4 linked regions of the Caenorhabditis elegans genome follow. The protein of the gene in region 3 interacts with the protein of the main gene of each other region in a pairwise test. Each region holds a gene or a part of one and is shown on either strand. Other genes may lie near its edges.

The links.
Region 1: the proteins of unc-37 (region 3) and unc-130 interact in binary tests that used the Caenorhabditis elegans proteins (3 or more experiments, as listed by UniProt).
Region 2: the proteins of unc-37 (region 3) and mab-9 interact in a two-hybrid assay, tested with the Caenorhabditis elegans proteins (2 studies listed by BioGRID).
Region 4: the proteins of unc-37 (region 3) and pax-3 interact in binary tests that used the Caenorhabditis elegans proteins (3 or more experiments, as listed by UniProt).

The regions. Positions count from the first base shown.
Region 1 is NC_003280.10:11,278,963-11,285,019, forward strand, and holds unc-130 (Forkhead box protein unc-130), read left to right. Parts: upstream 1-3,003; 5' UTR 3,004-3,032; coding exon 3,033-3,370; intron 3,371-3,804; coding exon 3,805-4,131; intron 4,132-4,371; coding exon 4,372-4,708; 3' UTR 4,709-4,997; downstream 4,998-6,057. UniProt on the Caenorhabditis elegans protein: Probable transcription factor. Binds to DNA sequence motif 5'-CTGTTTCA-3'.
Region 2 is NC_003280.10:513,167-522,483, forward strand, and holds mab-9 (T-box protein 12), read left to right. Parts: upstream 1-2,857; 5' UTR 2,858-2,989; coding exon 2,990-3,043; intron 3,044-3,321; coding exon 3,322-3,480; intron 3,481-4,143; coding exon 4,144-4,241; intron 4,242-6,052; coding exon 6,053-6,148; intron 6,149-6,203; coding exon 6,204-6,381; intron 6,382-6,800; coding exon 6,801-6,968; intron 6,969-7,012; coding exon 7,013-7,089; intron 7,090-7,225; coding exon 7,226-7,426; intron 7,427-8,268; coding exon 8,269-8,278; 3' UTR 8,279-8,469; downstream 8,470-9,317. UniProt on the Caenorhabditis elegans protein: Transcription factor. Involved in cell fate determination; required to pattern the posterior hindgut.
Region 3 is NC_003279.8:6,740,642-6,747,666, forward strand, and holds unc-37 (Transcription factor unc-37), read right to left. Parts: upstream 4,689-7,025; 5' UTR 4,684-4,688; coding exon 4,603-4,683; intron 4,551-4,602; coding exon 4,407-4,550; intron 4,155-4,406; coding exon 3,644-4,154; intron 3,557-3,643; coding exon 3,361-3,556; intron 3,308-3,360; coding exon 2,560-3,307; intron 2,042-2,559; coding exon 1,883-2,041; 3' UTR 1,666-1,882; downstream 1-1,665. Other genes in the region: dhod-1 (Dihydroorotate dehydrogenase (quinone), mitochondrial), read left to right, coding at 211-370; cytb-5.2 (Cytochrome b5 heme-binding domain-containing protein), read left to right, coding at 647-739, 791-1,123; W02D3.12 (Succinate dehydrogenase assembly factor 4, mitochondrial), read left to right, coding at 1,348-1,378, 1,427-1,665; fnci-1 (FANCI helical domain-containing protein), read right to left, coding at 5,691-5,753, 6,636-6,771, 6,868-6,959. UniProt on the Caenorhabditis elegans protein: Transcriptional corepressor that functions with the neural specificity gene unc-4 to govern motor neuron identity. In concert with unc-4, represses the expression of VB-specific genes such as ceh-12, thereby preventing the adoption of VB motor neuron fate.
Region 4 is NC_003280.10:10,143,754-10,153,181, forward strand, and holds pax-3 (Paired box protein 3 homolog), read left to right. Parts: upstream 1-2,816; 5' UTR 2,817-3,094; coding exon 3,095-3,136; intron 3,137-3,566; coding exon 3,567-3,664; intron 3,665-3,709; coding exon 3,710-3,806; intron 3,807-4,504; coding exon 4,505-4,688; intron 4,689-5,097; coding exon 5,098-5,172; intron 5,173-8,202; coding exon 8,203-8,492; intron 8,493-8,551; coding exon 8,552-8,692; 3' UTR 8,693-9,112; downstream 9,113-9,428. Other genes in the region: F27E5.3 (uncharacterized protein), read right to left, coding at 325-439. UniProt on the Caenorhabditis elegans protein: Transcriptional activator. Regulates the lateral/ventral epidermal cell fate decision.

The sequences.
Region 1 (6,057 bases), on a different chromosome or scaffold from region 3:
AGGGGGTAATTGCAAATGGCAATGAAATTGGGTTTGAACTTTTGCTACTCAAACATGGGTGATTTTGAACATTTTACTGAAAACTGATCCTAGAGTGGTTAACCTGATTTCTGAGTTCTTTCAATTCTAAAAATAATAAAAAATAACTCAAGATTTTGGTTTTGTGAAAAAAATATAAAAACACGTGAAAAACTTGTTTGTAGTCATTTTGCAAAAAAAAAAGTTGGTTTTTGAGCACAATGTTCAACAAGCTTTGGGTGTAGGTAGGTATGAGGTAGGCCTGTCCATTAGGAAAGTATCAGTGTTCATTACGTCTACGCCGATGTTATATGGCACCTGCCGATTTGATCAGGGCTTGAATATTAGAAGCTAATTTTGTACTTTTTGTCTAAAATGGTTCTAATTATTTATTAAAATACCTTGGGTAGAATATCGAAGAGCCCAACTGGTCTCATGTCTCGCCGGAAAACGCGTCCTTTAGTTACTTGCGATCATATTTTTATGCTATTCGAGTTCCTTTTATGCTATTCGAGAGCTATTCGAGGAGCTACTCTTCTATTTTGGCTCTGATTATTTTTTGTCACTGTTAGAATTTCTATAGGCACGACTGACGACCGCTTTTTTCCCGGAAAACGCCCCACGTAAATTTGCACGCATACTTTTGGTTGGGAGCCAGTGGGGCGAGGATCCTCCCCTTCACGTAACACCTCAGTCTTCCGAGTAGGAACAAAATCGCAAAACTTTCGTGGTAAGACCACCGGCACCCCATAAACATTTATTAAGTAACACACACACAATTAATGCGTTCCTTCCCACTGCCAATCTTCTTATCAGAAAGATGAAATGACCGTCTCAACCGAGCCTGTGTGTCTATTTGTGTGTGGCCTTTGTAATAGTTACCACCTAGCTGATAACCGAGAAAGTTGGATTACCTCATGATTCCCTCATAAATTTGCCGACAGGTTCTTTAACGAAAACATATTTGTCTTTTGATTGTCTATTCTCTATTTACAAATTGATAATTGGGAGAATGCCACCCAGAATTAGTCGATTTAAAATTGAGTATGATCTACATAGATCTGAGTAGTGGTTGATCACAATGATATAATTATTATATATTAGTATCATTTTCTCTTTCTCTCTCTCTCTAAATTCACCCTGTCATCAGTGATGATTCTCAGTTTCGAGCGGCGGAGGGGCGAGCGTGTGGGCGGAGCCGCGTGTCCAATGAGCGTGGGGCGGGGCGGTCCAATTACCGGTGTTTTCTTTCGTTTATTCGCTTTTTGTGACTATGACACCAAAACGGAAGAATCAGTGGATCAGGCAAAAATATTATTATTAGAACTAATAGTTGGATTTAGGTTGGGTATCATTCTGTACCTATTTCACCTGATTTCTTGTGCTTCACTTGATCTTTGTCTTTATTATTATTGTTATTATTGTTGTTGTGCTCCTTGTTGTGCTCCTTATAAATCCCGTAAACTCTAAATCTAAATTGTTATCTAATACTTTTTATTGGTTACCAATAATATTACTTCTGCCAAAAGAGGCAAAACGCCGCGTTTCAAAAAATGAAAATTTTTATCTGTTGTTCATCACTGTCAAATTTATGATTATTAATATTTCTCACCATTCAAATTAAAACTTTTGCTTCAAAACTACATAAAACATTCAAAAACTTGAAACAAATTTTATTCGATTTTTGCAAGTTTTTTATTTAAAAAAAATTATACCGTATTTTCCCTAGCATTCATTTTGCTCATATCTCGGTTGTCCCAAGTTTTATCAAAAAAATTTTAACTGTCATAATGTAGAAAAATAATTTTTCCATAGTTTGTAAGTTGACAATTTTTTGATAGAACCAGAGAGAATCGAGATATAAGCTGTCAAAGAAGAGCAAGGTGCATGCAAGTCAAATAGGAAAATAGTGGGTTTTCCGGTTTACAAATTCGCATAGTTTTGAATTTTTTACAGAGTTTTCACCATTTTAGAGAATTGCTCACATTTTCTGAATTTTTTTTTCAAAAAATTAACTGGTACCTAAATTGAAATTTAAATATTTTGAGCAGAAGAGGTGAAACTCTTTTTTTAAATTTTTTAATTGCTTCTCATATTGATACTATTCTCTTTTTGTGCCAAAACTTCTAATCAATGCCCCGCTCCTTTCAAATCCTAAAGTTCCACTTAAAAACTGAAGAATCAAAAATCTTGAAACCTGTACTGTATGTACTCTTCCAAAAAACCACCTCCGTGCTTTTCATCATTTACAACTTGTCTCCCAGTCCTCGTCCGCAACTTGCTTTTGATATATTTTTTTCGACTTCTTCATTTCAACACATACCTACACACACAAAAAAAGTTTGCGCTAACACATGTCCGCCCGTCATAAATCTACAGTAATCTCGGAGCTTTCTTTCTCTCTCCTGATGCTCCCACACCACTCTGTCATTTTTCAATTGTTCTTCTCTTGGAAGCTCATCTCTCGTTTTCATTTGATCCTGCTAGAAGACACTTGATATGTTGTTTGTGTTAACTAAGATAACTGATATTGTTGAAAGTGATAGCTTTGCTTTGCTTTTCAACTTTTCGTGTTCCTCCTGCTCTTTTTTTTGACAGCTTACTAGTACCGAGTTCGGACCCCTGCATAGTACTACAAATATTATATTAATATGAGAATGATATACCCTTATTATCCCCCCACGTACTCTTGAGAATCATTAGTATGTTTCAATGTTTCGCCAACAATGGATTGGTATCATCTGCCCTTACCTACCGTACTCCCTCAAGTGCTCCCTCATCCATGATTACCGTACTCCCCTACTCTCCTCCCCCTTCTATCCGATTATAACATTTTTATTAATAATTATTATTGTCTGGTGTCTCGCGATGCCATCTCTATCTTACGATTTCGCTTTGAATTTTGATAACGCTATGAAAATATTAGCTTTTCTTATCTTTTTTATGTTTTACTTTTTTTCATAATTTTTTCATCAACTTACTTGCAGAAACTAACTAGGTAGACACCGGTAACAATGCTCTTTTCCATGGAATCAATTCTATCAAGTACCAAGCCAAAACTGGAGCCACCTCCGAAGCTAGAGCCGGAAGTGACAATCAATGAGCAAGTGGTTGATCTGCCGCGGAGCAACACACGGCTCTCCGAGCCATCAACTTCTGCGTCGGTTCTTGAACATGATTTGAAGTTTGGGGAGTCCCGAAAAAGAAGTCGGTCTCTTGGAGACGAGCCCACGGAAGATGAAGACGGCGTTCCAGTTCGGAAGGCAAACAAAAGAAATCATTCAACTTCAAGTGCTGCAGATAGCTCATCTGATGATGCGAAGGATGATGACGACGATGATGATTCTACATCGTAAGTTGGGAACTTGGGAAAAACTTAGGAATCTTAGAAGAAATTCGATTTTTCTCGACCTCGACCTTTTAGGTCCTTTTATACAAAAAGTTTGTATGCTCAATTTTTGTGAAACTTTGATCTCCGATATTTTTAAGTCTATTAGACATTGTTCAACTACCGTATTTTCCCTGTATGACTTGCATTCTCTTTACTCTAACTTGACGGTTTATATCTCGGTTGTCCTAAATCTTACCAAAAAAGTTTAACTGTAAAAATGTAGAGATATATTTACATGCATTTTGTCAGTTGACAATTTTTGATGAGACCAATAAAAACCTAGATATTGGCTGTCAAAGTAGAGAAATAGGTAGAGCAATATACCTATAATATGTACAGTGATATGTACAATAATATGTACTGTGTAAAACAACTGTAACTCTATAATTTTGCAGTCGAAAATCAATGTCTGGTCACCGAAAGAGCAGTCACGCAAAGCCACCGTACTCCTACATTGCACTCATCGCGATGTCAATTCTCAATTCACCGGAGAAGAAACTGACACTTTCGGAAATTTGCGAGTTCATAATCAATAAGTTCGAGTATTACAAGGAGAAGTTCCCCGCCTGGCAGAACTCGATTCGTCACAACCTAAGCCTCAACGACTGTTTTGTGAAGGTGGCTCGGGGGCCTGGGAATCCGGGAAAAGGAAACTATTGGGCGCTGGATCCGAACTGTGAGGATATGTTCGACAATGGATCGTTTCTGCGCAGAAGGAAGAGGTAAGGGGAGCACAGGAGAAAGTATTACAACCTGACGGGGAGTAGTAGCCGGCGGCGGGGTGAGCACACATACGAGATGTGAAGAGAGGGAAAAGACAGTTGTTTCGATAATTTGTCACCAATTTGTTGTCATTAATCGCACCCTCGAGGGTAGTGGAGAAGCCTGGGAAAAGAAAACTTTCGGGGTTAACAAGGGAATTAGTGAGATAAATTTTCAATTCAAACACTTAATAATTTCAGATACAAGAAAAACAGTGACACATATCACGAAATGATGTCCCATCATCCGATGCCATTCCCTCCATTCCTCCCGCAAGGAATGCCCTTTCCTCCAAGAATGATGCACCCGATGGCTAACATTCCCATGCTGGGACATCCAATGAATCCAAGAGCAGTTCCAAACATGCCAGCGTTCTTCATTCCACAAAATATTGATAGCCAGAAGCTCTTGTCAATGATGGCTTCGAGAATAATGCCAATGGATGCTCCAGTCAGCTCTGGCCAGAAGAGAACTTCATCGAGCTCCTCACCAAATGAGAATGGATCTTCGGCAGTTTCAGATAAACTGAGCGCTTAGAAGAACACTCAATTTCCTTGTTTAATTTTTAACAATTGTTTCCTATTTGCTTAACCTTTTCTAGTCTCTTGTTCCTTTTCCGTTCCCCTTCAATTCCTTTCAGCATTCTTCATTTCCCCTGATCTCAATCGTGCAATCAATAATCAATTTTTTGTTAATCCTCCTGCACGTGGTACCACAACTTCATTTCTTCAACTGATCTTCCCTTTTCTTTTTTTTCTTTGTTTCATTATCTGTGAAAGAGCTTATGTCGTAAATAATTCGAAAATATATATGTCCATCGTCAGCATTTTTGAAGTTAAAATCACATTAATCAATTGAGCAAACAGTAAGATGAAAGGAGACCGCAGAAGCTGCTGAGCCGATTAAAAGACTGAAATTGATAAGGGAGGGAAGTGACAAGACTGCTGCAGAGTTACTAGTCTGCAAAATGTCATGAATCCAACAAAAAATCAGGGTTCAGAAGACTAGGTTTTTAGTAGAAAACATACCGAATTTTTCAATTAGTCTTGCACCAAATTTGCTCTACTTTGGCAGCTCATATCTCGGTTGTCTTCAATTTTAACAAAACATTTTCAACTGTAAAATCATAGAAACATATATGAAAAATATTTCTACTGTTGAAATTTTCGTGATAAAACCAAAAGCAGCCGAGATAAGAGATCTGAAAGTAGAGCAGAAGGGGTGCAGTACTAATAGGAAAAGTACCGTAACTTACCTTTTCCTAACTTTTCTAAATTAGATGGATATATAACTGGACGCGAATATTAGCCACAGACAGAGTTCCTCAGCCTCCAAGAGTCCTCATTTTTCCATATAACCTGGCTCCTTTGGACTAGATAGAATTTCTAAAAAGACGACCTATGCCTACTTTTCTGTGAATAAAAACCATTAAAACCATAATTTAAATCAACATAAAGCTACTTGTTGTTTGGGCAAATAATGATACTAACAATTAAATGAACATTTTGAAAACTATGCTAAGATTATTCAAATGTTATCCTAATTACCAAAACCCTAGTTTAACTCGGTGACTTTTTGAACTCCCGCCAAACCATATAATTATCTCAAGCATGTCGTCTTCATTTCTATCCTAATTAGATACCCATACATAGTGTATATATGTATATTCAAACTATACAAAACGGATATTGCTTATCAAATTCATTCATCAGTTTGCCACGTCAAATCAAATTATCGAGAAGTGTGTGTGGGGGTGCAGTTTCACCTTATGCCACCTCATGTTTCGTTTGACGGCACATGGTGACAGGCCCGATGAGATTTTGAACCGTTTAATTGATACTAATCGGTATCTTAGGTTGTATTAATGTAATTACAAATACCGTATT
Region 2 (9,317 bases), on a different chromosome or scaffold from region 3:
AAAGTAAGGTTTTTTAAATTAATAATATTAATTTGAAAGACAAGGCATTTTTAATTTAAAAGCTAGCAGTTTGACCTAATTGTAAGTCGCTGCTCAGCCTCCGTATCACAGTTTAAACTATAGCTTTCGCAGAATTTTAAGTTGAAAATTTGCACCAAAATTTTAGAAGCAAAATAAACAAATATATGATAATTTTAAAGTGGCGAGTCGCTACTCAGCTAATTTGGTAGATCACGCCGGGTCGCTGCTCAGTCAAAATTTAAGCGGCCATAGCCTTGTTAATTTGAACCGTAGAACTTTTGTGTAAGAGGCAAAGTTTGAGAATGTAGAATTTCGCATCGAATGGTGTGTTATACGATGTGATCCGGAGTCATTGAGTCGCTATTCAGCCAAAATTTCAAATTGCTATGAAACTAGGAAGCTTGTGCATTATAGAAAAGATTTTCAGAAACCAACTTCACTGATAGTTTTAAAGTTCTAAGCCAAGAACTTTTATTTTTCTCTCTCCATATAATTCAGCAACCCCCAATCAAAAAGACCATCCTCCGGGGGGTACTGTACCTGCCTGCCAGAATTCATTTGAAATCGACGTATCATCGTAAAACGAGAATACACGGGGCGGCATGCAAAAGAAAAGAGGGATTGTGGTAAAACAACACGGTTCGGTTAGTACTCTCATCTATTGTTATGATAATAAGGTTGTAACAGACCCCTCTTGGATGGACAGACCCTTTATGGTACATGGATAATGGGCAGTTTGCAGATAATTTCAAACATGGCACGAAAATTACTGGAACTTTTAAATAAATATTTTTACTTCTTCAGAAACCTCATTGGATATAGTTTTAAAAATTGAAAATGTAGCAAAATTAAAAAAAAAACCAAATTTCCTTGAAATTTTTACTTAGACTCACATTTTAGATGAGCTTTCAGGAATTTGGAGTATTAAAATACCGAAAATTTTCTTCAAATTTGCTAGTCAACAATGAAATTATCCATGGAACCCGAATTTTTGCATTTCAAGCATTAATGTTATTTTGTATTTTTGAATAAAATCTGAGTTTTCCAATTTTGCAAGACTATTGTATTACTTAAAGCGAAAATAATAGTGGGGATTTTGTAGAGAAAACAGAAAAAAATCCTAAAAATTAAAAAAAAAACATTTTTCTTGTATTTTTAAAATTTTTCTAAAAAATTTTCTTCAAATTTTTATGCATACATATACTCATTATATAATACTTTAAATGTGAAATTTGAAAAGCTCTTCGAAAAATTTTAACTTTAATTGAAAACTTTAGGATTTTGAATTTTCCTTGTAATTGGGGGGTTTTTTTTTGAAATTTAAATTTTTTTAATGAATTCATTGGTTTTTTTAAATGTCTAGAACTAACAAGCTATCTAAAAACAACAAATTGATTAAAAAATAAAACAATTCCAATAAAAAATTTGAAAAATTCAAAAAAAAAGTTTTGTTTAAAAATTTCAACTCCTTTTAACTTTGCTCAAAGTTACCCTATCTACTTAATTTTTTGTTAAATTTTTTCTCCAAAATGTCGAAAACCACAAATATTAGTAAAACTAATCAGAATCCTACAAGTAGGCCCAGATATCTCTCAGATCATAAACCATTATCTGTGAGAACCATAAAAGGAGCCATAAAATGCGTTGCGCGCAAGAGAGAGAAGAAGAATGTGTGATGATAATTAGTCAATCTGTTCAACGGAGGTGATTACGATTACTGTACTACCGTATCGACAACCCGCTGTTTTCCTTTTTTTTTCTACCTGATTTTACAGTTTTTAGGGGTTAACTGGGGCATGTGTAAATAGGTACAAAGTGGAGCGTATTGATTTTCGCTTGAATTTAGCGAGATTTTAACCTTAAGTTATTGATTTTGATTTTTTCATTGAGAAAATTTAATTTTTACATCACTCTTGGACCTAAAAATAATATTTTTTGAGAAAAAAGAAAAATTCGACTTTAGTTTTTTTCTTTCAAATGTATGTCTGATAAATAAATGTCCTAATATATTTTTAACAGTTTCAAAAAAAAAACAATCGAATTCGAAAGTTAGCTAAAATATTAATCTTCAGAAAAGTTAAGCATTTCTGAAATTTGACGAAATTTCTAAAAATTGAAAGAATTTTCAAAATTTCAAAATTGGTCATTATTTAATTTTTTAAAATTGAAACAATAAAATATTTTGTTCGAATTCTATTAATAGTCATTAATTTAATATATTTAATATACCACGTAACTTTTCGAAAAATTCAGGTCAAAATTTGACTGGAAATATAAATTTCCATCAAAATTACGAGGTTTTGAAATTTTTTCCAAACTTTAATTTTTTTTCGAAATTTTGGAATATTCGAAAAAACTAAGGTTTTCAATAATTTTTTATTTGTTAAAACTGTGTTTTAATTACATTTCATGTAAGTTTGAAATTAAAAAAAAATTTCAGCCTTGAAATTTCAATTGAAAAATCCAGAAAAATAGCCTCACAAAATTCAATAAATTTGGTGTAAAAACGTAAGTTTTGATGATTTTTATTTTGATTTTTTTGTAAAAAAACATAACATTGCTTTAAAGTCAAAAATAAACAGGAAATATTGATTTTCAGCAAAGTTTAAAAATTCTAGATTATTTTTAACAACTCCTAAAATTTTCAAAATTATAAATTCATTTATTTTTAAAACAATCTTAAATTTAAGAATCTAAAGTATTCAATTAAAATTATGGAACATCTGGACCCCAGTTTTCCCTTCAGAAGCTCCTCCCACCTCCCTTTCTGCAATTGGCCAGCTCCGCCCATTTACTGGCGGAGGGGTGCTTGTGAAATCGGAATTCACACTTATATATTCTCAAGCTATTCTCTAACGTATTCTTCTTTTAATTCGGGGAAAATATCTGAAAATTGTCAGAAAAATAACTGGAAATTTTTATAGTCCCGGAGCTTCTTATTCCATAAGATACTAAATTTTGAAAAAAAATGTCAAAAAGATGTGCAAGTGATAGAGATGATAAAGATTCGGAGCCCGTTAAGGTAAGCTTGGCTGAAAGTTTTTTAAAAGGATTTGTGGAGTTTTGAACTATTTGACTGAAATATTAAACAAGTGTTTTCTGGCAGAAAAGGTGTATTTTCAGCGTTAAAACTGCTAAAACCCGGTTTGAAGCTATCTAAAAAGACAAGAAAATCAATAATAAAGTTATCTGGAAAGATTTGTAATTTCTCGTATTTTAAGGGAATTTCTCTTACCATTTTTTGTAATAAAACACCTCAAAACTCCCAAAACGCCTCCAAAACCCAAATTTTCATTCCAGAAACCCCGTTTTTCGATTGCCAACATTCTTGATGAAGTAGAAGACGAGGAAGATGTGGAAGTTGATGTTGAAGACGTGGATGACGTGGATTTATCATCAATTCCATCGAAAAGTCCTGAAAGATCAAGGGGTCGGCCGAAGATTGGCTTGAAAATGAAGGTGGGCTACTCAGTTCATTTTTTATTTGTACTGAAATTAATAGAAAATATAAGTTTCGATAAATTTGCTTCTTGAACCAACTTTCTTGGATTCAAATGAACAAAGTTATATGAAACAACAGCGTGGCTTTAATATTGGCTGAGTAGCGGCTCAATGACTCCGTATCACACTAATTCATACACAAATCGACGCAAAATTTTAGGATCTCAAACTTAGTCTTTTTATCAAAACTCTAGCGTCAAAATGAGCACATATATGGCGATTTGAAATATTTGGCTGAGTAGCGACCTTTTTTTGCTGAAAAGCCCAAAATTTTCAATAAAATTTGGCAAGATTTGAGGAAACTCCGTATCACCTGGGTCGCTACTCAGCAAATTATCAAAATTGTTTTAGCTTTGTTCATTTTGGTCATAAAGAATTGAAACAAAATACATTGTGTAGCTCATAAAAATTTGCGTCGATTCGTGTTAAATTCGAATTTTATACGGAGTCCTTGAGTCGCTACTCAGCCAATATTGACAAAAAACGAGAGTTAGCCCACAATTTTCAAATTTTTTGTCTAAAAACTGTTTTTTCTTGGTTTATTAATATTTTATTATAATTTGTAACCTATATCATAAAAATAATTTTTGTTTTTAATAAAAATGAAAAAACATTTTTCAGGAAGGAAATCTACCAATCGAGTGCAAATTAGAGGGGTCCGAGCTATGGGCGAAATTCTTCGATTTGGGCACAGAGATGATTATCACAAAAAGTGGAAGGTAAGATTTATATTACAAAGTTAACGGGAAATTGCAAAAATCAAAAAAAAAAAAAAGAAATTTAAAATTTAGATAATTTTGAGATTTTGATAATGGAAAATTTTTTCTTAAAAAATACGATTTTTTTTTTTGAAAATTTGAAAATTTCTTTTTTTTGGAAAAAGAAACGGATAAACCCTTTTATCTAAATTACTTGTTTCTTTTTCTATTTTGTTACCCCATTTCGAGCTAATTTGTGAAAAAAGGAAGATCCTCTTTGACCCTCTTTATGGACCCCCATAAAGGAGGGGTGTATACTAGTTGTCACTTAGTTAAATGAGCTTTTTTCGCGAATTTTCGGAACATTGTAGGTGGGAAAACACAAAAAAATGGTTAGTTAAAAAAAAGGGAAATTAGGAAAAAACTTTTTTTTTGAAATTTACAAAACAATTTTTTGAGTCAAATTTTTTTCTGAAAATCTATAACAATTACTTTTTGAAGGCTTTTTTAAATGAATTATTAATTTTTTGTACTGTTTTTAAATATTTACTTTAAAGTTTATAAGCCAAATCGTTGAAAATTGTAAAAATTAATTTTTAAAAAGTTACTTTTTAATTTCATTAAAATATTTTGAGAGAATTTAAATTAAAAAAACAAATTTTTAAAATTTTGCATTTTTAGGAAATTCTAATTTTTTCACAAATTAAAAAAAACTGAATTTTACAAATAACGCAAATTTTTAAATTATCTAAATTCAGAGTATTATTTTTCAATAATGGTTTAAAAAATAGTATCCTATAAAAAACAATAACTATTCAATTCAAACACCTAACATACCCCAGGCACGGCCCAAAACCAAATTTTAAGCGAAGATCGTGGTAAAATTTTTTTGGACGATTTCCAAAATTATGGAAAAAATTTTTTGTAAAAATTTTTGAAAATTCGAATTTCAAAATATTTTCAACAAGTTGAAATCTCTACAATTCCACCAAATTTTTAAAAATATTACTACAACCACGTTTTCTCAAAAAAAATCAATAACCCGTCCCGATCCGAACACCTACAGTACCCCCTGTCAAAGGTACCCCGCCCAATCAATTTGTGTGGTTTGTAGGGAATATGGTTGTATTTGTAATTGGTTTCATCTTTTTGAATGTCTTTTTTTTCTTCGTCGTCTTCAACATTTCTCTGAATACCCATCAAATACCACATTCATCAATTCAGAAGATGTAGTAGTACGGAGGGCTGTGATTGAATTCTGTCTTTGATGGGTCACTTGGGAATTAGGATTACTGTAGAATAGATAATGATTTTGGTGATGGGAAATGTCAAGTAATATAGAAAAATAATTAGAGTACAAAATATTGAAAATATGATGAAAAAATGTCAATTTTGAAGAAAGTTATGATGGTTTAAAAAAATTTGAAAAAAAATTGGAAATTTTTCCAAAAAAAGTTTCACAAGAACTTTTGTGGAGCTTGAAATTTTTTGAAACTGTGTGTAATCTCTGATTATCAGTTTAGTCAATAAGTTGCTAGTTCACAAATTATAGAACTTACATTTTTGAGTATTCTGCCATTTGAAAATTGTCTGATAGATTCCTTTGTTTTTAAGATCCATGGGTTTCTAGTTTGTCTCAAAAAGTTTTAGTTTCCAATGCAAACCCCTAATTTTGGCAGTGGCAAGTGACATTCAGCTGAAAATTGTGGAAAATAACTAGAAAACATAATAAGTTTCAAAAAAATGCCTAAAGAAAATCTAATTCTTTTTACAAAATTGTTTTTTCCAAATTTTCCAAATTTTTCCAAAGTCCCTAATATATATGTTTCCAGGCGAATGTTCCCAACAGTTAAAGTTTCCTTCACAAATGTAATACTAGATGCTCTATATTATATCTTCCTAGATGTAGTCCCAGTGGACTCCAAAAGGTAACTTTTTCCCTTCAAAACTTTTTTTCTAGAAATTAAATCTTCATAATTCCAGATACCGTTACATCTACAACAAATCAGCTTGGCTCACAGCCGGTAAAGCGGAGCCTGTGCCAAAAAATCGATATTACCTTCACCCGGACTCCCCATTTACCGGTGATCAACTGCTGAAGCACGTGATTTCGTTTGAAAAGACTAAATTGACAAATAACGAGGTGGATAAGACGGGTCATGTGAGTATTTTCATTTGAATAAAAATTGTATGGAAAAATTAAAGTTATTTTCGATGTTGTTAGGAACATTTTGAGCATTTTTCAGGGCCCTAGCTACTTATCGCACAAATTGGCTGAGTAGCGACTCTGTCTCCGTATCACAATATATAGCATTTTACGCATAATTTCATGATCTCCAATTTTTTCTCTTGGACACAGATCCAGCAGTTCTCATTTTTCTACTTTTTGTTTATACTTTTTCACCAGCTCAGAAACTTAAAGATTAATCGGTCAAATTTTGAAAAAACTCCGTATCTTACGATTACCAAGTCGCTACTCAGCCAATTACCAAGATTGTCATAACTTTGTTCATTTTGGCCCTAGAGACTTGCTCCAAAATACAAATCAGAAGATTTTCAGACTAAAATATGAGTTTTCAGCTAATCCTAAACTCAATGCACAAATACCAGCCACGTATTCACATTGTCCAACGCCAGAAAGCCAACCCCTTGGACCCCAACAAAGTAGTGATGAGTGAAGAAAAACACTGCACCTACACATTTCCAGAAACACAATTTATGGCAGTGACGGCTTATCAAAATCAGTTGGTATGGCTACTAGGTTTTTCTGAAAAAAAGTTCTGAAATTCCAGATAACAAAGCTGAAAATCGAGAAAAACCCTTTTGCAAAGGGGTTTAGGGATCCTACAGGAAGGTCGCCGGATGAAATGTAGGTTTTTTTATAGATTTTGGGGAGTTGGCGGTTGTTACAAAAGATTGCAAATTTTTGAAAAATCGCAAAAAAGTTATATACTAAAAAATCTGAAATTTTCGAATTTCCTACTCAAAACCTCTCAATTTTTCAGGGAAAGGTCCCCAGGCGACATGATGCTCTCCAACTTCTACCACTCCTCTGCTCTGCAGCAGGCAATGTTTCAGCAGTGCCTGAGCAAGACTCTTCAGTTGAATCCATCAATTATGATGCTTTATCAGAATGTTTTTCCAACGGGGAATTCGTTGCCAGCAGCACCGACGGTACCCGGCAATCCTGCAGAAATTTCAATAAAGTAGGTTTTTGAAATTAAAAAAAGGAAAATTGAATCCGCGATACACCCGTAACGCAGAATACAATTCTTTCTCGAAAAGAGGAAATTCGGCTTTATTTTGTTGCTCGCTTCAATTTGACACCCATTTCGATATGATTTGCTCAATTTTAAAATTTTAGACAAAACCGCAACGCGACCGCGACGCAGCGGCGTCGCATAACTAAACAGCCTTTCCGTAAAAGTAATTAGCAAAATTAAAAAAAAATTTTCCTGACAACTTCAAGGTTCAATCGCCACATAAATTTTTTGTTAATTAATTTTTTGCGCAAAAACCGCGACGCGACCGCGCCGTGCGCCCAAAAGTTCGAAATTGTCAGAAATATGTAAATCAGCACGTGGTGTCAAAGTGTCTCATTTGAGTTTGATCTACAAAAAATGCGGGAGAAGAGACGCAGACTTTTCAACTAATTTCGCATGATTAAGAGCGTGTTGACGTCACGTTTTTATGGGGAAACATTCCCGCATTTTTTGTAGATCAAACCGAAATGAGACACTTTGACACTACGTGAATCAGCTTTTAAAAACTCAAACGTTTAACTTTTAAAAGAAATTAGAACATTTTTGAGTTTTAAGAAGCTTCATATCTGAAAATCTCTGAAACTTCTTTAACTTCAAAATGTTCAAAGTTCTCAATGATTTTGATAGTTTTGTTTCAAAGTATGTATTTCTTTTATTGAGAGTCCTCATTTGACACCCAATTCGACTGTGTTCCTCAAAATTTGAAAACTTTCACAAGAACCGCGACGCGACCGCTCCACATACTAAAACTGAAAAACTTCTAGCAAAATGTGTATATTTTTCAGATCAGAATAGCTCGCTGCAAATCGTCTTCCACGTGTAAATAACGCAATTGGCCATTTTTTGCAAAATCTTTAATTTTTTAGTGTAATTTTTCTGTAATTTTTTGTGGTGGTATTCATATGATATCCGGTTTTAAATTTGTGTGCATGCATGTGTCTGAATATTTGAATTTGAATAAAAAAATTGATGTAAAAAAATTAATTTCACTTTTATTCTTTTGGCTGAATATCTTGGATTATGGTGAAATCGGTTGTCGGATAATTTCAGAAGATTTTAGAATCTTTTTAAAGAACTCACTATAGTTTTTGAAGCGTTGGACAAAATGGTTTTGGAATTTTGATTCAAGAGAAAAATATGATACGAAGCCATAGTATTGGCTGAGCAGCGACTCACCAAAAAAGTTTTCACTGAAATTCAATAAATTCGCACCAAAAAATCGAGTGATTCCCCCCGGTCAAAGTGTTCTGTGTAATTAGAATTAGGCCAGGAAAAGTTTCCTGATAAGTATATATGTGCACATCGCAATTTGTCTTATCATTTCGCCTTCCTTATCACCTGCCCTTCATCAATAGCTCTTTTTGTTTGAAACAAAAAAAAGTTGCCATCTCGTTTTTCTTTACTTTTTGTTTTAATTAGGGAATTTCCAGTTTTAAGATTTAAAAATTGCAACAAATTTGACTTGAAATTTAATAGAAAACTTTTAAATTCGGGAAAAATTGTTGAAAATTGATACAATTTTGAACAATAAATTTGAAAATTAAAAAAAGGGTAGCTCAAAAACTGCAGTAACAAATTTCAAAATTTTGATTTTGATACAATTTTTCTTTTAAAAATTCATAAAAATCAATAATAATTATAAACTTCAACATTTTTTTTTCAAAAAAAGAAAATACGGTTTCAATTTTGTCTGAAAAATTAATTTTTTTAAATTTTTTTAAAAACTTTTCTAGACTTGTTTCTAAAACTGGCATTTTCGTGGAAAAATGTTTAAAACTATATGAAAAATCTTTTAAAATTGGAAAATACAACAAAAATTACTTTAAAGTTTTTC
Region 3 (7,025 bases):
ACATGATACAGTGATATAGATTTTTCGAAAAGTAAAAACACAGTTTTCAACGCCTTTTGACTCAAAATAAAAATTGAATTATAATATTTGACCATTTGAGTACAATATATGGTAAGAATGGTTTTATTGATTTTCCCACAGGCCGTATAGTCCACCGTTATTCAATCAAAGTATTAATTTCAATTTATTTAACTAAATGTAAAATTTCAGAGCCGGTGCTAGTCTGGTCCAACTCTATTCCGCGTTCGTCTATGAAGGATTTCCGGTAATCGGAAAAATCAAACGAGAACTTGTCGAACTTTTACGGAAAGATGGATTTTCGCATGTTTCGGAAGCAATTGGAGCTGATCACAGAGAAAAAACGAAATAATTATATTCCCAAGATTTTTGTTATTTTTTCAGGTTGACTTCATTTTCATGGGTGTTTCAAAATTGTTTTATAATTGAATTATTTTCTTCCGATGTTCAATGTGCCTTTTCATGAGATTGTAGGGTAATTCTTAGTATTTTCTGCATAAATTATTTGATTTCCTTATGTTTTTTTTTTCAATTTATACTAAAGTTTCTGGTTTTCAACCGAAATATATCACTTTTGAATAATTTTCAACGACTTAGAGACCATTTTTTGTTTCAGGGTTCATCAATTATGTCGGAGCTACGTGTCATTTCTCTCGATGAGGTCTCAAAGCACAACTGGGAAGATGCTGATCAATCGTGTTGGATTGTCATCTCCGGAAAGGTAATTTTTTTTTCATTTTTTAAATTTAAATATCGAAATCATTCCTTACAGGTCTACGATGTGACAAAGTTCTTGAATGAGCATCCAGGAGGTGAAGAAGTCATCACTCAATTAGCCGGTAAAGATGCTACAGTTGGATTCCTCGATGTTGGGCACTCAAAAGATGCTATTGAAATGGCCAATGAATATCTCATTGGTCAATTGCCAGAATCAGACGTTCCAAAAGTCGAGACAGCGGCTGCGAAACCTTCGAAAAACGAAAAATCATCATCTCTCCTCAATGATTTCACCGAAATTATGACTTCACCAACATGGACCAACTTCCTGATTCCAACTACAATGGGACTTGTCATTTATGCCGTGTACAAGTGCATGTTCAATTAAATTACCTTAGCTCTTATCCTATTCTTTTGATCTTATGCGCCCACTTTCTTGAAATGCATCAAAGAACATTTGTTTCTATGGACTTTTATATATGTGATAAAGATTTGTTGTCAATATTTTCATATGTTACTGAAGGAAAAATGGGTGGAGCCTTGGAGATATCGATGTAACTTTAGTCGCAAGATTAGTCCTATTGAAACAATTAAAAAAAATATTCAGATCAAATGCTTCGTCAGATTCTTCGTCCAATTTTGAGTATGGATTTTACACAAAAAACAATTTTCTAATTTCTTGACGATTCAGATTCTTCCCGCCGATTCGCAGATATAAAACCAAAACAAAGTGCGAAGGAGAAGGTGATGGCTGAGAAGACACCGAAAGGAGCACTTGATAAAGCAGACGAACAACAATATGAAGATCCTCACCTCAAGAAACATCCGGGAGGTGTGAATAAGTCAACTGGAGAAGTTGGTGGACCAGCTGGACCAGAGCCAACTCGATATGGTGATTGGGAGAGGAAGGGAAGAGTTTCAGATTTTTGAAATGTTTTATTAATTGCTGTTAAAGTCAAGTCAGATCATCATTGTTTTGTAGTGCAAATAAATAAATGTTTTAAACATAGAGTGACATTAATCGTAATAGGGTACACAAATACGAAAATTTGACAAACGAAATTAGAAGAGATGAGAGAGATGAAACGATTATCGTACAGAATAGGGGTTTTGAGTATCATGATCATAAATTCACTGCGGAAAAAAATTAATATTCAACTGCATAGAGAGTTGCCTTCTTCTCCCCTGATCCAGTGACAATGAGTGAGTCGTCGAATGAGATGTCACATGAGAGAACGGAGCTGTTCTCTTTTAGTTGAAAGAGTGATGCTCCGTATGGAGTACGCCAGGCGTTGAGAGCATTGTCCTGAAAAATTGAGATTATGAGGTTTCAATTAGAAAAATTGAGCCAATTACCGTATTTCTTCTATTAATATGGCTGCAATACTATTTTTCGATGGTCTTCCCGCTTGCAAGACTAATAGGGAGTGCAAGAATATTAGGGAGTGCAATACTAATTTTCAGAATATTTTTCTGACTTTGAGCTTACTAGTTTTTTTCTGAAAAAGCTCGAATCTTATGTAAAAATACAAAAAATTTTGATTTTAATTGTAACCTATAAGTTCAAAAACTTCAATTTCGTATAAATTTTGTGAAAAATTGTTGCACAATAGGCAAAAAATATTGTTGAAATCCTGAAATTAGCGAGATGGGTTTGCAATAAAAAAAAAGTAAACGCAAGACTATTAGAGAGTGCAATAGGGAGTGCCATACTAATTTTTGGAAGGTCTCCGAGGGGCAATACTAATAGGGAGTGCAAGTCTAATAGGGAGGCCATACTAATAGAAGAAATACGGTAAATGACAAAGTATAATCAAAACATACCTTTCCAGTTGAAATGAAGAACTTTCCGGAATGCGCAAATTTGAGCGAAAGGACGCATGATTCGTGTTGTGTCAATTGATACTTTTCTTTTCCAGTTGTTGACAGAACCTCGACATAATTATTCTCCATACCAACAGCCACCCATTCATCATTTGGACAACATCCAAGAGAGAAAACTTGGCTCGCAAAATCATGCTTCGCAACTTCCTTTCGTTGTGCAAGATCCCAGCATCTAACAGAATTGTCAAGACCACCTGACCAGAGCTTTGTACCATCTTTTGAGAGATCGAGACATGATGCTCCATCTTGATGTCCAGGTAGGGTTCCAACTTTCACCTTATTATGGATATCATAAATGAGGATATTTCCATCAGCAAGACATGCGAACAATAATTTCTCATCTGGTGACATCGCCAACGCGTAGCATGCTTGTGAATCAGTTTCCAAGTCCAAAGTTTTTGTTTCAGTTGTAAGATCCCAAAGAGCAACAGTACTGGCTTCTCCTCCAATCAGAAGTGTATTTCCATCTTCAAAGAGTTTACAAGATCTAATATAGTTCTCTTTGAGACAATCCAAGGATGCAATTGGAGGCCGATTCACAACCGTTGCGCCAGAAATATCTGATTCTTTGACATCCCAGATCTTAACACATCCTTTTCCACCAGTATAAACACGACTGTTATCACGGGAAATTGTGGCCGCACAAACTACTTCTCCGTGATTTAATTCCATTTTCTTCTTGAGACCTCTGCAATTTTTTTTTTCAAATTTGAATCAAAGCCAATTATTATATTTTCTTACGTCGGAATTCCGGGACCTTTCTGTGCATCTGGAGGGAAGGATGTAGGTGTTGGAACTCCACCGTCCACAATTTTGAATGAATAGGCCGGTCTGCTACCGATTTGCCCGATGGCAGCTGCAAGACGGGCCTGTGCATGGGGATCATTCAAAAAGTTGAATCCTCCAGCAGCACTAGCTTGTCGGAGAAGATTTGGATCTGAAAATTGAAATATTTTGGCATTGCCTGAAGTTTTGGTATTTGCTCCCTCCACTTAGCACACTTCAAAAGATTGTAAACACGTACTGAATCCAGCTAAAAAGTTCATTTGCTCCAATCCTTGAAGCCCAGCGAGTGGCTGCTGTTGTTGTCTTGCTCTAGAATTTGATGCGATGCTCGGTGTAGATGCTCCCGATGAGGCAACACTATTTGTGCTATCTCTTCCATTTTTATTAGCTGCGCCTCCATTTGATGCAGTACTTGGATGATCATCATTTGTGACATCAATCTCAAGTTCTCCATCATCTGGATCTTCCAGCTTGGCCTTTTTCGCTTCACTTGCACCTCCAGAACTTCCACCGGCTCCATCTCCACCGTTGACATGTGGTGATGCGAATTGATTGAATAGTTGACTCATTGCAGGGCTCATTCCGAATGGCATATTTGGCATCATTCCAAGCATTCCAGCTGCACCGGGAGGAAAACCTGGTGGAAGTGCTGGTGCTCCATTTCCATTTTCACGTGGTGATGCGGTTTTGAAAGCTTCCAGTGCGGCGAGGCAGTTTGCTTGATTATCTTGAGATAGTTGAGGAGCCAACTGAAAAATATACATTTATAATATTACCTAAAATTGATTATTATGAATTAAAAATATTACATAATAATTTTTCTTCTATTTATAAATGAATATATGGAAAGAGGAGCATGTTTGAGTTGAACAAGGTACAATCCAATAGATATTATAACGTTTCCATAATATTTAGTTCAAATATTTCAACAAAAAAATTGTAATAGCTTTTTCTATATTTTTGTTCGATTTTTTAATAACATTATTGACGAGTTAATTTACCGATTGCATGATGAATTCCTGAAGGCGTTTGTTGATTTCTTCTGCTTTTCGAAGATCGCTACGAAGAGTATTTGATACTTCAGCGTACGTCATATACGATCTATTCATATTTTCTTTCTCTAACGCAACCTTTTCGATATCCGACTGCAAAATTGTTTTCAATATACTAAAATTTCTCTTACAAAATTAAGCTTACTCGTTGCTGGTTGACATGCTTCGACATTTCCGCATGCTCGTCTTTGATTCGATCGAGGGTTTCCAGATACGATGCCTTCATTTTTACTGAAAATTAAATACAATCAAGTGGATAGTGAATTATTAACATAAAAATTATGAGAGGAGTTTTAAAAATTCGATCAAAAAAATGCAAGGAAGAACAGACTAGTGATGGATTGGGAGAAGACAACAAAACTCAAGAAATAGCACGTGGTTTGAATAGACGTTGACAACGAGACGAAGAAACAAAGAAAGAGGACATGGGTTTCCAGTGGTGTAGACGGAGAGAATCATACATTAATTGCAAAACGACTGGTCATATAGCCCCACTAACGTTGAAGAATGAAGGAGGTATTGGTGTCGAGGAGGACGAACGCGCGGCGATGAATGCGACGCTGAATGGGTGACCGAATGGGGGGAGGAGTTGTCGATAGAGCACATTTGTTTTGAGCTCTTTTGAGCCCGAGTGTAGAAGATGAATGTATCCAATAAGTTTGATATTCAAGTAACACGAGGATCCGAGGATTTCTAACTAATATTTCGAATCAAACACGATGAAGCTGCAACTTACTATAGAGAGAAGCATTTATAAATATTTTACATGTACATAATCACAATTCCAGTATAAAAAACTCACAAAATTATCTAAAAAAACGGAAAAGGTTGAAATATTGAATAAAGAGACATAAACCTGTCTTGAAGAAAATATTTTTAAAAAATCATGTTTAACAAATAATAAGTTTATTGACATGGTATGTTCTTAAATAATTTGAGATTGAAAATCGGTAAGAAAATGAGATGAGAATCAAATGATAATAGTGAAAATTGAGATTCAAATGGAAAGAATAAAAACTCTTGAATGATTCTATTAGATTAAACAACAAGACGGTATACTGTAGCAGTCATGAAAATTTAAAAAAAAACCAAAACATGAATGAAGCTCCATTTTGTCATTTGTAACTAATTAGAAGCATTCCGGAGTGTTGAAGAATATATTACACATATAAAAACTCGAGAGTTTAAACTCATTAGGAAATCAAATATAATTGTCGTTTCATTGCTAACTGATCAGAAGACTGGACTCGTGCCTCTGGAGACACTTTCTTCTTCGTCATCAACCTCCTGCTTCACCTAAAAATACATTTTTAGATTAAGAGTGCAAGTCGTCTCGTGAAAAATATATTCTTGAACACGACACTTGATTTAAGGGCAGCGTAAATTTATATAAGGATTAAGGTAAATGAAGCTATCAACAACTAACAAGGTTATGCCCTTTGATCAATCATTTCATTTCAGTAATTGACACATTCATTTCCCACAATGTTAGATTTTATCGAAAAAGGAGGGATGTGATGGGTGGTTATAAACATTCAAAGATTCGAGAAGGCGATAATTGGTTGGATGTGTGTAACAGATGGTGGTGAGACGATGGTGTACACATTTGTTTGCACTTTATGTCATCATTATGACAACGAATACAATGAAAGTCAGATTTATGTTCCAGAAATAGAAAATTCCCATATAAGGGTCACCTTGGGTCAAATTGATGTCGGTTGATGGAAAAGGGATGTTTAATGGGTGAATGAGAATAATAAAATGTATGTGGTCGAGGCATTTGGAACTACATACATTTTATGTCTGGGATGCCGCTGTTTTAGATCATTTCACAAATTGAAATGAACATTTGACACAAATGTGGTCCTATTAATCAGCGCATTGAAACAGTTTCGCACCGAATATCCACAATTTATATTGAAAAATAATGATTTCTTTTTTATTCAAAACATCATAGGAATTGTTGAAACAGTAAACTATTTTTGGATTTTAACATTTGTAAGATTTTTGAAAGATATGGAGACTTACTTTAATTTTTTCGAAATTTTAATTGCCGAATTGTTTTTTGAAACTTTATTTTTTAGAGTTAAAGTTTTTGTCCAAATAAAATATTTTTCGGCCTTAGAATTAATCAGCTCAAGTAGTGGTTACACAACTCATAAAATCTCGTACACATACCACTCCAACAGTGTTCTCTTGATCTCTTGGCTCTTCGGGTTCTTCGGAGCTTCTTCTTGCAGATGTTGTACTCTCTTCAGTTTCTTCTATTTCTTCATCTTCCATACTTGGGTCCCTACGGCCTCGTTTGGTGGCTCTGAAAGCATCTCGTTACTTGAAAATTATTTAAAGAAACAAAAGAGGATTCAATAATAAACTGGAGAAACAATACTTTTTGAAATTTAAAACGTACGGTTCACAAACTTCTTCATTAGCTTGCCCGCTCAATTTGTTGCGAAGAACTTCCATATCGATTCGGAAGTCACGATATCCAATTGAATTGTTCTTTAAAAATATTTTTGAAAATGTCTAAAAAAAAGATTTTCAAATATATAATTTTGTAGCTTGAAG
Region 4 (9,428 bases), on a different chromosome or scaffold from region 3:
TACCGCTCATCTTTCATTCGCAACTGATATGGAATTGAAATCCAAAATAAATTTCGATGGAGTTGTCAACGTGGAAATTTAATTTTAATCAGAGCAAGATATTTTGAAAAAAGGGGGAATGATTGTCACGTGTTTAAATAAAATTTCCATGTATTTTTTTTTCATCCGTAAAAATTATTAACTTATTTTTATAATTTTTAGGTTTTTTGATCTATAAATTAATGTTTGCATAGAACAATTGCCGCGCACCTCTGATTTGGTGGCATAAGTTTTGAGCAACCCACCCCTCCTAATAATACACAATTTCTCTGTGAATTTTCCCACCTTCCCGCTTCCGTTTCACCATCTGGTTCTTGTCTCGACACGCACAGGTCTGAAAAGACTGAAATCCTTCCAGACCTGCCGTCTTCCGGCTAATTACAACCAATGCCCACCACATGGCCTAAGATTACCTCGGCTCTTTTGTCGGGTGGGAGCAGGCAACAGTATATTTCCTAATCCGCAGCAATCTGCCACTTGTCGGAAGTGGTTGTACTCTCTCTTCCTTAAAGGTGTTCGATGTGACATGCGGGGATATTATCTTGTCACTTATAAAACACACTGCTAACCGTCTTCTTTTTGTCGACACTATCGAGTCTCAATTTCATTTTCCTTTGTCGATGATGTGTCAGTCGTTAATTTGCTAATTAAAGGGTGTTGATAAATTGAAGGCGTCCCTATCATTTTTCTAGTGATGGGATGCTAAAAAAAAATTGAATGTGGTGGGAAATATTGATGTTCTATTTCAATCTTTCTCTGCTGCCCAACCTATCATAGTCAATTAAGATTTTTTGCAGAACTTGAGAAGGAGACCGGTCGAAATCGAGCTGAAAGGTGTTTGGATTACTGTAGTCTTATGATGAAATACAAATAATAAGAATCCAGAACTTCGAACAATAAATGGAGACAGCTGTCAATAAGCTAAATTTTCAAGAATTTCATATTTTTAATTTGAAGTTAGTATATTTTCTAATGTTTCATTTCAAACAGTGTGTGCCTTTAAAGTGTTGTATCATCTATTTGAGAAATTACAATAATGACATAAGTATTGTAGAGTTTAATGAGACACTGTAACACGGTGGCTGGGACAAACTCTTTTCACATTTTGTCAACAAACTCCCGCACTCAGCCCATCAATTCTCCATAGATGATGCCCTTTTCAGATAGCGGAAAACCCCGCATCATCATCATCTCACACTTCTCCGGATAGATAGATAAAGATATATCCAAGTGTTACAAAGGTGTGAAGACCCCCAAAAGTTGACATCGGCGCGTGGCCCTTAATTATGACCGCATACCACTTCAAACGATACCGCCACCGTTTCTTCGTCCCCCTGATAACATGGTCCCAGATTATCAGGAAAATGGTGTAAGACAACCTTGCGCAATCCGGGAAGATGAAGAAGGAAATGATGATGTGACACGTGCCGAAAAAGAAATTGGGCCCTACTTGTTGATTGGGTAATGCACGTGTAGTTTTCAGGTGTTTTCGGTATTAAAAGGCTATTTGTATGGGGTAATAAAGGATTAATGACTAGGATTATTTCACATTATTTCACATATTTTCACGTTTTGTTTCTAACTGAAACTCACAAATAATTCTCCAATTGTGTAGTTTAGAATAGATTTATATCTTTAGACACCGTCGGTAAACAACTAAAAATACCATTATTCATCTCAATGACATAAACTTTCCCAACACGAGCCCTCCCAAACACCGACTCGCTAATTGCGAGCAATTTATTGATTGACAGTTCGCGGATGAACTTGTTTTGCACATTGTAGATCGAGATAAGACAAGTAGGTTCTTAAGTCGGGCCGACACAAAACAGATAGGTCTAAAAGAACGTCTGAAATTGAATAATCAGATAAGACAGAGTAAAGGGATACTGAAAAAAGAATAGTTATAGAAATACTTGAAAATCTGAATGAATAGAGGTGACAACTATTTTTCCAAACTTACAACTAACACTGGTCTCAAATTACAGATACATATATATGTTAGTTTTTTCAGATTTCAAATTAACCTACCCGTAGGCTGGTAGGCAAGAATGTAGTCGATCTTTGCAAAGTCATATCTTTAAATTTCTCATTGGAAATATTTGTACCGTATCCTCGAAGCACTTTTCCTCCTGACCTCTTTTGTTTGTAAAATATGTTTACACTTTTGAACACTGGAAATGAAAATGGGGAAATTGGTCATTGCCAACAAGTTACACTACTCTCGAAAGTTGTCTGTTTGTTCTATCTGTTCTTGTTTCCGTGAAATTGCAACTTTTGGAATATGTATGTTTTTGGTAATCAGAAAATTATTTTTGTGTTAGGTAAGTCCAACAAATCACATAATCGAAAAAGCAAACAAAGAAAGTAAACTTTGTCTGAAATCCATTAAGAAGCTGTTTTCAAATATTAGTAGCATGAATAATTCTAACGCTGTTTAAGCTTTTAATGGACATGAACGATTTTTAAAGTTTTGAAGTATTCGTTTCTGGTTCCAGTTTCATGTTAGAGTTACTTCTAGCTTCACCCAGAAGCACGGTGGACTGCTTAGATCTATGTAGCTATCTGCAAATATTTTGAATCTGCAAGATCCGCACGCTCCTAGATGTCCTTTTCTTCGAGACTATCCACAGGTGAATCACCATTTTGCAGGTGCTACTACCAAACATTGACCTTTCAAATCAAAACCATCGAGCACATAAATCTTCATCTCCAAAAATCCACCTCCTAGTCAGAATATCTCTGATAACAAACCCACATACCCCGCGCCAACATCTACTAGTACGTCCTTTGATGCTTACCGCCCGTGTCTTTCGCCCTTCTCTATGTCTCGCTGGTTTCGATTACCGTACTCGAGACTATGCATGCCTGTAACAGACCGCGCATGCGCATAGGTGGGCGGGATCGCCGTCCCGCCCATTCACAGTTCGACAAGGCGTGTCACCTCGAAACTACTCGCTCCTTAAGTTTTCACGCTATATACCTGATATTCACACATTCGGTATATTGGGGGCCAGCCATACGTGCTCCTGATATCCCATCCACTACTAACAAAATGACCACAGATTCTATCACATTTAATCACATTCTTGGGCAGGTAAGTCTATGGTTTCGATAAGTTGTTTTCTAGTTGTAGTGCATAAACTACTGCTCAGGTATTTTTTAATGTCTAGAAGTAGGAGATGTATCCCGGAAAAATTTGATTGAAGAAATTTTTGGAAATTCTAGATGGTTCTAGAATGTACGTTAATTTCGAATTATTTCTATACTGGCTCAGACGTTTTAAGGAGCTAAAATTAAGCTCTTGTTAATTATACAGTTTGAAGTTGTAGCCTATAGAAACTTTTGATTTATTGTTAATAGAGCTCATCAAGCATCACAAAAATTAGATAGTATCATTACTATAGTTAGCCTTAAGTTAGATTTTCATAGCATTTGAAAAGTTTTTGAAAATATGTTTTGAGTTTTCCAAGTCTCAATTTCTTCTCCTTTCTCACCGCCTCTATTGAAGCCCAAAATTAATTCAGGGTCGTGTTAACCAACTCGGTGGAGTTTTCATCAACGGTCGACCCCTTCCAATTCACGTTCGTCATGCTATCATTTCAATGGCCAAAAAGGGTATAAAGTAAGTAGTCCGAACTTCTAGAGAACACTAACAATAATCTTTTAGACCATGTCACATCAGTCGTCAACTCAAAGTATCTCATGGAGCTGTTTCGAAAATCTTGAATCGTTACGCCGAGACGGGCTCAATATCTCCGGGACAGGTCAGTGCATTTTCTGGATGATAAGATAATTTGCTAATTAGGTCATCAGGCAGGCGAATCATAACCATAAAATTTAATGTTTGCCTACACGTGCCGCGTGTCGTCGTCCTGATTCAAAAAAGTACCGTAATACTCAATTTTGGCGGGTCGCGCAGGTGCGACGCCCCGGGTGGCACTTTTCGGCATTTTTCAAAAAATGCGTCGGATGTCTGTGTTTCTGTTAAAGTAGTTGTTGTCTACTAGGTTTTTGGTTACCAAAAACATACGGTAATTACAATTCCAAAAAAAGTAAACTTTGAATTCTTGAAAATTCCATTTTGTTGGTTGCAAAACGGCAAAGAGTGTAGAACGGGGAGTGCAAATATACAAAACAATTTTTATTCATTTATAAACTTTAAAATCATCTCAAAAACAACCTGAAACTTTCCAAGAACTGATATCAAAACGTTTTCGGCAAATGACAACTTTGAAACAGTTTTTGAAATTTTTCTCGACTATTTCAATGCAAATAACTGATATTTTCAAACTGATCAAATATTTTTCTATCTATATTTCTACATTTAATTTAATAAAAAAAAGAGTTATAATCTGGGATTGGGCAGTTTTGTAGATTTGCCGAAAATATTCGTCATATTTCTTACATAAGCCTAGCGAAAGCAAATGCTTTTTAAACATAAATATCTATGAATTAATTTCAGATCGGTGGAAGTCCCCGCGCTCGACTTACAGTCCAAGCCGTCGAGAAAGAAATTCTGATCGCATGTGATGAGAATCCACAAATGAGCGCTGCAGAGCTCCGAGATTGGCTTATTCACAAAGACATTTGCACAAAAGGAAATGCTCCAACAGTACCTGCGATAAAAAGGCTTATTGGGAATAAAGGTATAATAATGATGAAAACTGTGAAGGCAAAAAAAAGGTAGAGGAATAGATGAAAAACAAACAGAAATTCGTTTCGTTTGATGAATGTTCCGCTTCTGATAGCTGTGGTTGTGTTTGTTTAACTGTTGACAACGATTTTTTTTGTTTCGAATACTTTCATGGAAACTTGCTTGGGCGTCATTTTTTGATGCGTGATTTTCCACAAAAATTCAACAAACCTCACAAGAAGAACTTCTAGACATATTCGATCAAATTATCACTTTCTATAACCTCATCAATCATTTCTTCACGCCAATCATATCATCTTTTTTGCTGCACTTTTTCATCATATCTTCCTTATCACTTTTTTTTGTTTTAATTTCCTTATCAATATTTATCTTCACACAAATCACCACATACTTTTTTGCAGGCGTCGGGGTTCCGAAGAAAATGGAACGAAAACGGCTGAGCTACAGTATCGACAGCATTCTGGGAATTTCAATTGGTAAGTGGTCTAATTGGAATAGTCTTGATTTCACACATTTATAATTTCGTTCCGTTTGTCTCATGTCCTCCAACACCTTTTTTGGGTGTCGGATTTCCTGTTCAATCAGGCAACATTCCGTTCTTTCAATTCAATTTTCTTCTGCCATATAGTAACACACAAACAGACGTAGCATGAAAGTTTTCATTCCTCCCAATATTCCCAAAGGGGCCAGAGGGCATACTGTATATTGGACTTCTTTGATATAATAACGGTCATTAACACTTTGATTAGTATCGCCTGTATGTCGCTGTGTATGTTAACGGTGTGATAAGACGATAAAGGCGAAGACGTTGAAGAAGTGGGGGCGGAAAGGACAAGAAGCGTCGGTGAAGAATGATGTGAATTAGACAAGGGGGCACGCGTCAGGGGTTGATTTTAATCAACAAGACCATCGTATTTGTTTGTGAGTTGCATGCTGTGCGCCGCCACGGAGATCTTCAGGGAGAGAACCATGACTGATTGAATTACGGGTTACGGTAGTGTACCGCATTTTGTTTCTCCTGATCTGCAACAAGCGTACCGGAATGTCCCGCGTGTCTTCAGGCCTACCTGTTAGCTTGCCTACTGCCTATTCGTCTACATCTTGGTGTGAAGTCTAGGGTCTGATGTTGCATTGTGAAGCCTATAGGTAGGTCGCCTTGATGTCCGGTAAGCAGGCACTTTTGATCCTAAAATCTTGTTTGATCTGTGCTCAGTTGTTAATCACATTCGGTAGGGTACGGTAGTTGTGCAAGAAAATCGTAATCTAAAGAAAGAGCATGTCAAATTCCAGGCATCATACGCCTACCTTGTAGGCACGCAGGCAGGCATTTTTATCATGTTCGGCACTCCAAACAGTTTCATTAAATCTTTGTCTGAAAATTCAAGTTTAACAACAGCTTTGAGACTGTTTATATAGAACGAATAAAAGTGAAATTTTTGGTTTTTAAAACTTCCAAAACTTTTAGCCTACTTTTTATAAGAAACTAGACAGCCACAAACTTATGTTTTTGCAAGTTACTTGAATTTCTAGGGGTCATGCCACTACCTCCTGCTGTTTCAACTTCTTGTCTTCCAAAACTTTCAACACTTCCCCTCTCTTCCTGTCCCGTTTTTTCCCGCTTCCTAACTTGTCGTCAATCTTGTCATTCCTTAAATTGTGAACCACCGCTCAACTTCGCACATTTTCGCATACACGTAGCAATTAAGATAGGGGGAGAAGATTTGCGCACTTGATAGGTGCCTATTCAAATAGGTAGGTAGGAGGAGGAGAAAACGATCCAATAAATTCCATATTTTCGCGGCCAATTGATCAGGATGGGCACACGAGTGACTGGCGCGAGAGAAGATTGGGATGCGCGAAAAAAAGCAAACACATGCATACGAACATAATACATATCCGCAATTTAACACATTAAAACTTTGACATTTGACATTTGACAATATGATTGTTAGGGATGTGGGTTACGGTATGTTGCGCAAGATCGTTAGTAGGTGTTGGTCAGCTTGCCTGGAAGGCAGGCAGGCATGACAGATCATTGTGAGCTTGTTTATTATCAAGTTTTTACCGAGTCCGAGTTACCCTCTCTCCACCACAAACCTTGAACCAAAGTTTGAACTCGGCGGTGCGGTAACGTGATTTTTCAGAAATTTCCCGAATTTGTCAGAATACTTCCATGATTTTCCACATGTCTATATTTCTATTACATTCATAAGTAACAAAAATTAATATTTTCCAAAAATAGGTAGCCGTTGAAAACACAACGCAACGACTGATATTTAGGTATCAGAGACTGGAGTGATAAAGTTCCAGGTGAAAAAAGAAATGGAAACAAAAGTTTCTTCTTCCTGGAATACGCTCAGAATACATTGCTCAATGGGAATATATTATAGCACTCCCCCGCGCCGTTCTTAATGAGCATTGGGAATTATAGAACGATATCGTTAAAAACTACAGTATGCTTAAGGGAGAATTCATTTTTGAAAATCTTACTCTACTCGGCAAGTAGCTAAAGTTTTCTGCAGACTATTACCAGAAAGAGGACTAAGTGCGGTAGAAATCTGCTTTGATTTGACAAGAACGGATGAAAAATATTAATGAGATAAAAGATCAAGTTGAGCATCCTTGAAATCGACATTCTTCAAATTAGAACATTGTATAGAAATAACCTTACCTTCCTTCCTTCCGTCACTATAAAATACTCCTGTGACAGAAACCGATTAGCGCACAGCTCATAAAACTTGGATGTGAGAAACGACGGTGATGATGGAGTGATCCGTCAAAAAATGGAACGATAAAAACAAATTAATAGGGTCCATTCCACCACATGATATCTCTTTCTCAAGTACACAAAGGTGTCAAGTCTATAAATTAGAAGAGACACCCCCCCTCCCCCACCCGCAATAGGGTCTCTCCCGATCTTTATCGATTATTTTTAGAGAAGTGTGTCTATGCGAGAGGCCTACGACATGACTGAGACCACCCACTGTGGCGCAACATTATATATAGTAATTGGGCGACTCGACTGGCAGGCCGTAGTCTTTCTCTGTTAGATACCTTACAATTGACTCATTGATTTCCGGATTTTGAGGGAAAATGCTTGATAGGCGGGGGTCTGATTTTGAATTTTTGAAATAGAACGTATGCGGAACTCAAATAATTTTCAGTCTCGAGGCAGGCGAGTCCGGAAGCCTTTCAGAAAGGCATTTCAGCATGCTCATTATTCATTAGAGCCTCCCTGGTATCAAATATATTCTAGTTGCAATAGTTACTTCAACTTTTGACGTCGCATGCTATTGAAAATGTTTGTTATTTTAATTACGCCTGGAACATTTGCCCTTTCGATTTTCAACGGATGAAAAAAATGGCAGATGAAAAATATTAGTTCCACATTTCGAAAGTCTGTATAGAGAGAGGATGTATAGAGTTTGTTAATGAAAATTCAAAAATGCATTCACGTACCCAAAAATGGTAGCTATGATAACCCCTTTCAAAAAAATAATTTTCAGACGAATGCAGCAAATCGTCATCGGATGACGAAGAGGGCTCTTCACCATCAAACGACGCATCGTCTCGTCGAAATCGTACATCATTCACTGCCGAGCAACTAGATGTTCTTGAAAATGCGTTCCGCGCAGACACTTACCCACATGCCAACGCCAGAGAGAGCATTTCCAAGGAGACAGGGCTCAGCGAAGAGAAAATTATGACGTGGTTTTCGAATCGGCGAGCAAGATGTCGGAAAAATATGCCAATGTATCAACAGTACAATGTTCAAGGTTTTGGATCATCTCCGCCGGTTAGTTAGAAATCGAAACTATATATTAGAAAACAAATTACTAAAACTTTGATTTTCAGTCCTACCCAACGCTGCTGCCTTCACCGATGATGTTCCTACCCTCCTACTCAACGAGTCCTCAATTGAATCCGTTATTCTTTCAACACATACTCCAATCAAGTCCCCCATCAAGTCAATCATCTCCGCCATCATCAAGCTAAACGCTTTGAACTTATTTCTGAACTTTCAAATAAAACCTGTGATATTTGAAAGTCGATCAGAAATTGATACACAAATTTAATTTGAAAGTCCAGAATTAATTTTAAAACATTACCTTAAGAATTCACCCATTCTTCCCAAAACTTATCTAAATCTCTTTGCCTTCCCTCTCATCAATTTGGTTTTAAATATTACGGTCATTGCACTAGTTCTTCGTGTTTTCTTCTTCTTCCCACTTGTATGAACTTGTCTGAAAATCTGTGAAAACCTTTTTCCCTATTCCAGATGACGCTATTGTTCTTGAGCATTTGTACAAGTTTTGTGTGCTCTCTCAAGCATTTGATTTCCATCATCTCATTCTCTCTCAAATTCCATATCTCATGAAGTAAAAAACACAAAAATAAATAAATATTCAGTTATTATTCCGGTCAACGATCACGAATGTTACAGAGATAACTAATAGACTTCAAATTTATTCAGAAGGCGGGGAAATTAAAGTCAATTTTTGATTTTATTACTAGAGATCACAAAATTTTAAAACCAGAGAAATATACTAAAGTTTTTGGGACTTTACGCTTGGCTTATGCGTGCGCTTTGAAATGTTATATGTAATTAATTGCAAACTCAGATTGAACTCAAACTCAGATTCAGATCGAAATTCAGGCCCACGGGCCTACCTCACAAAAAAACTTTATCAGAAGCTTGAAAGTTATCTTATTTATATTTTGTTTTCTTTTT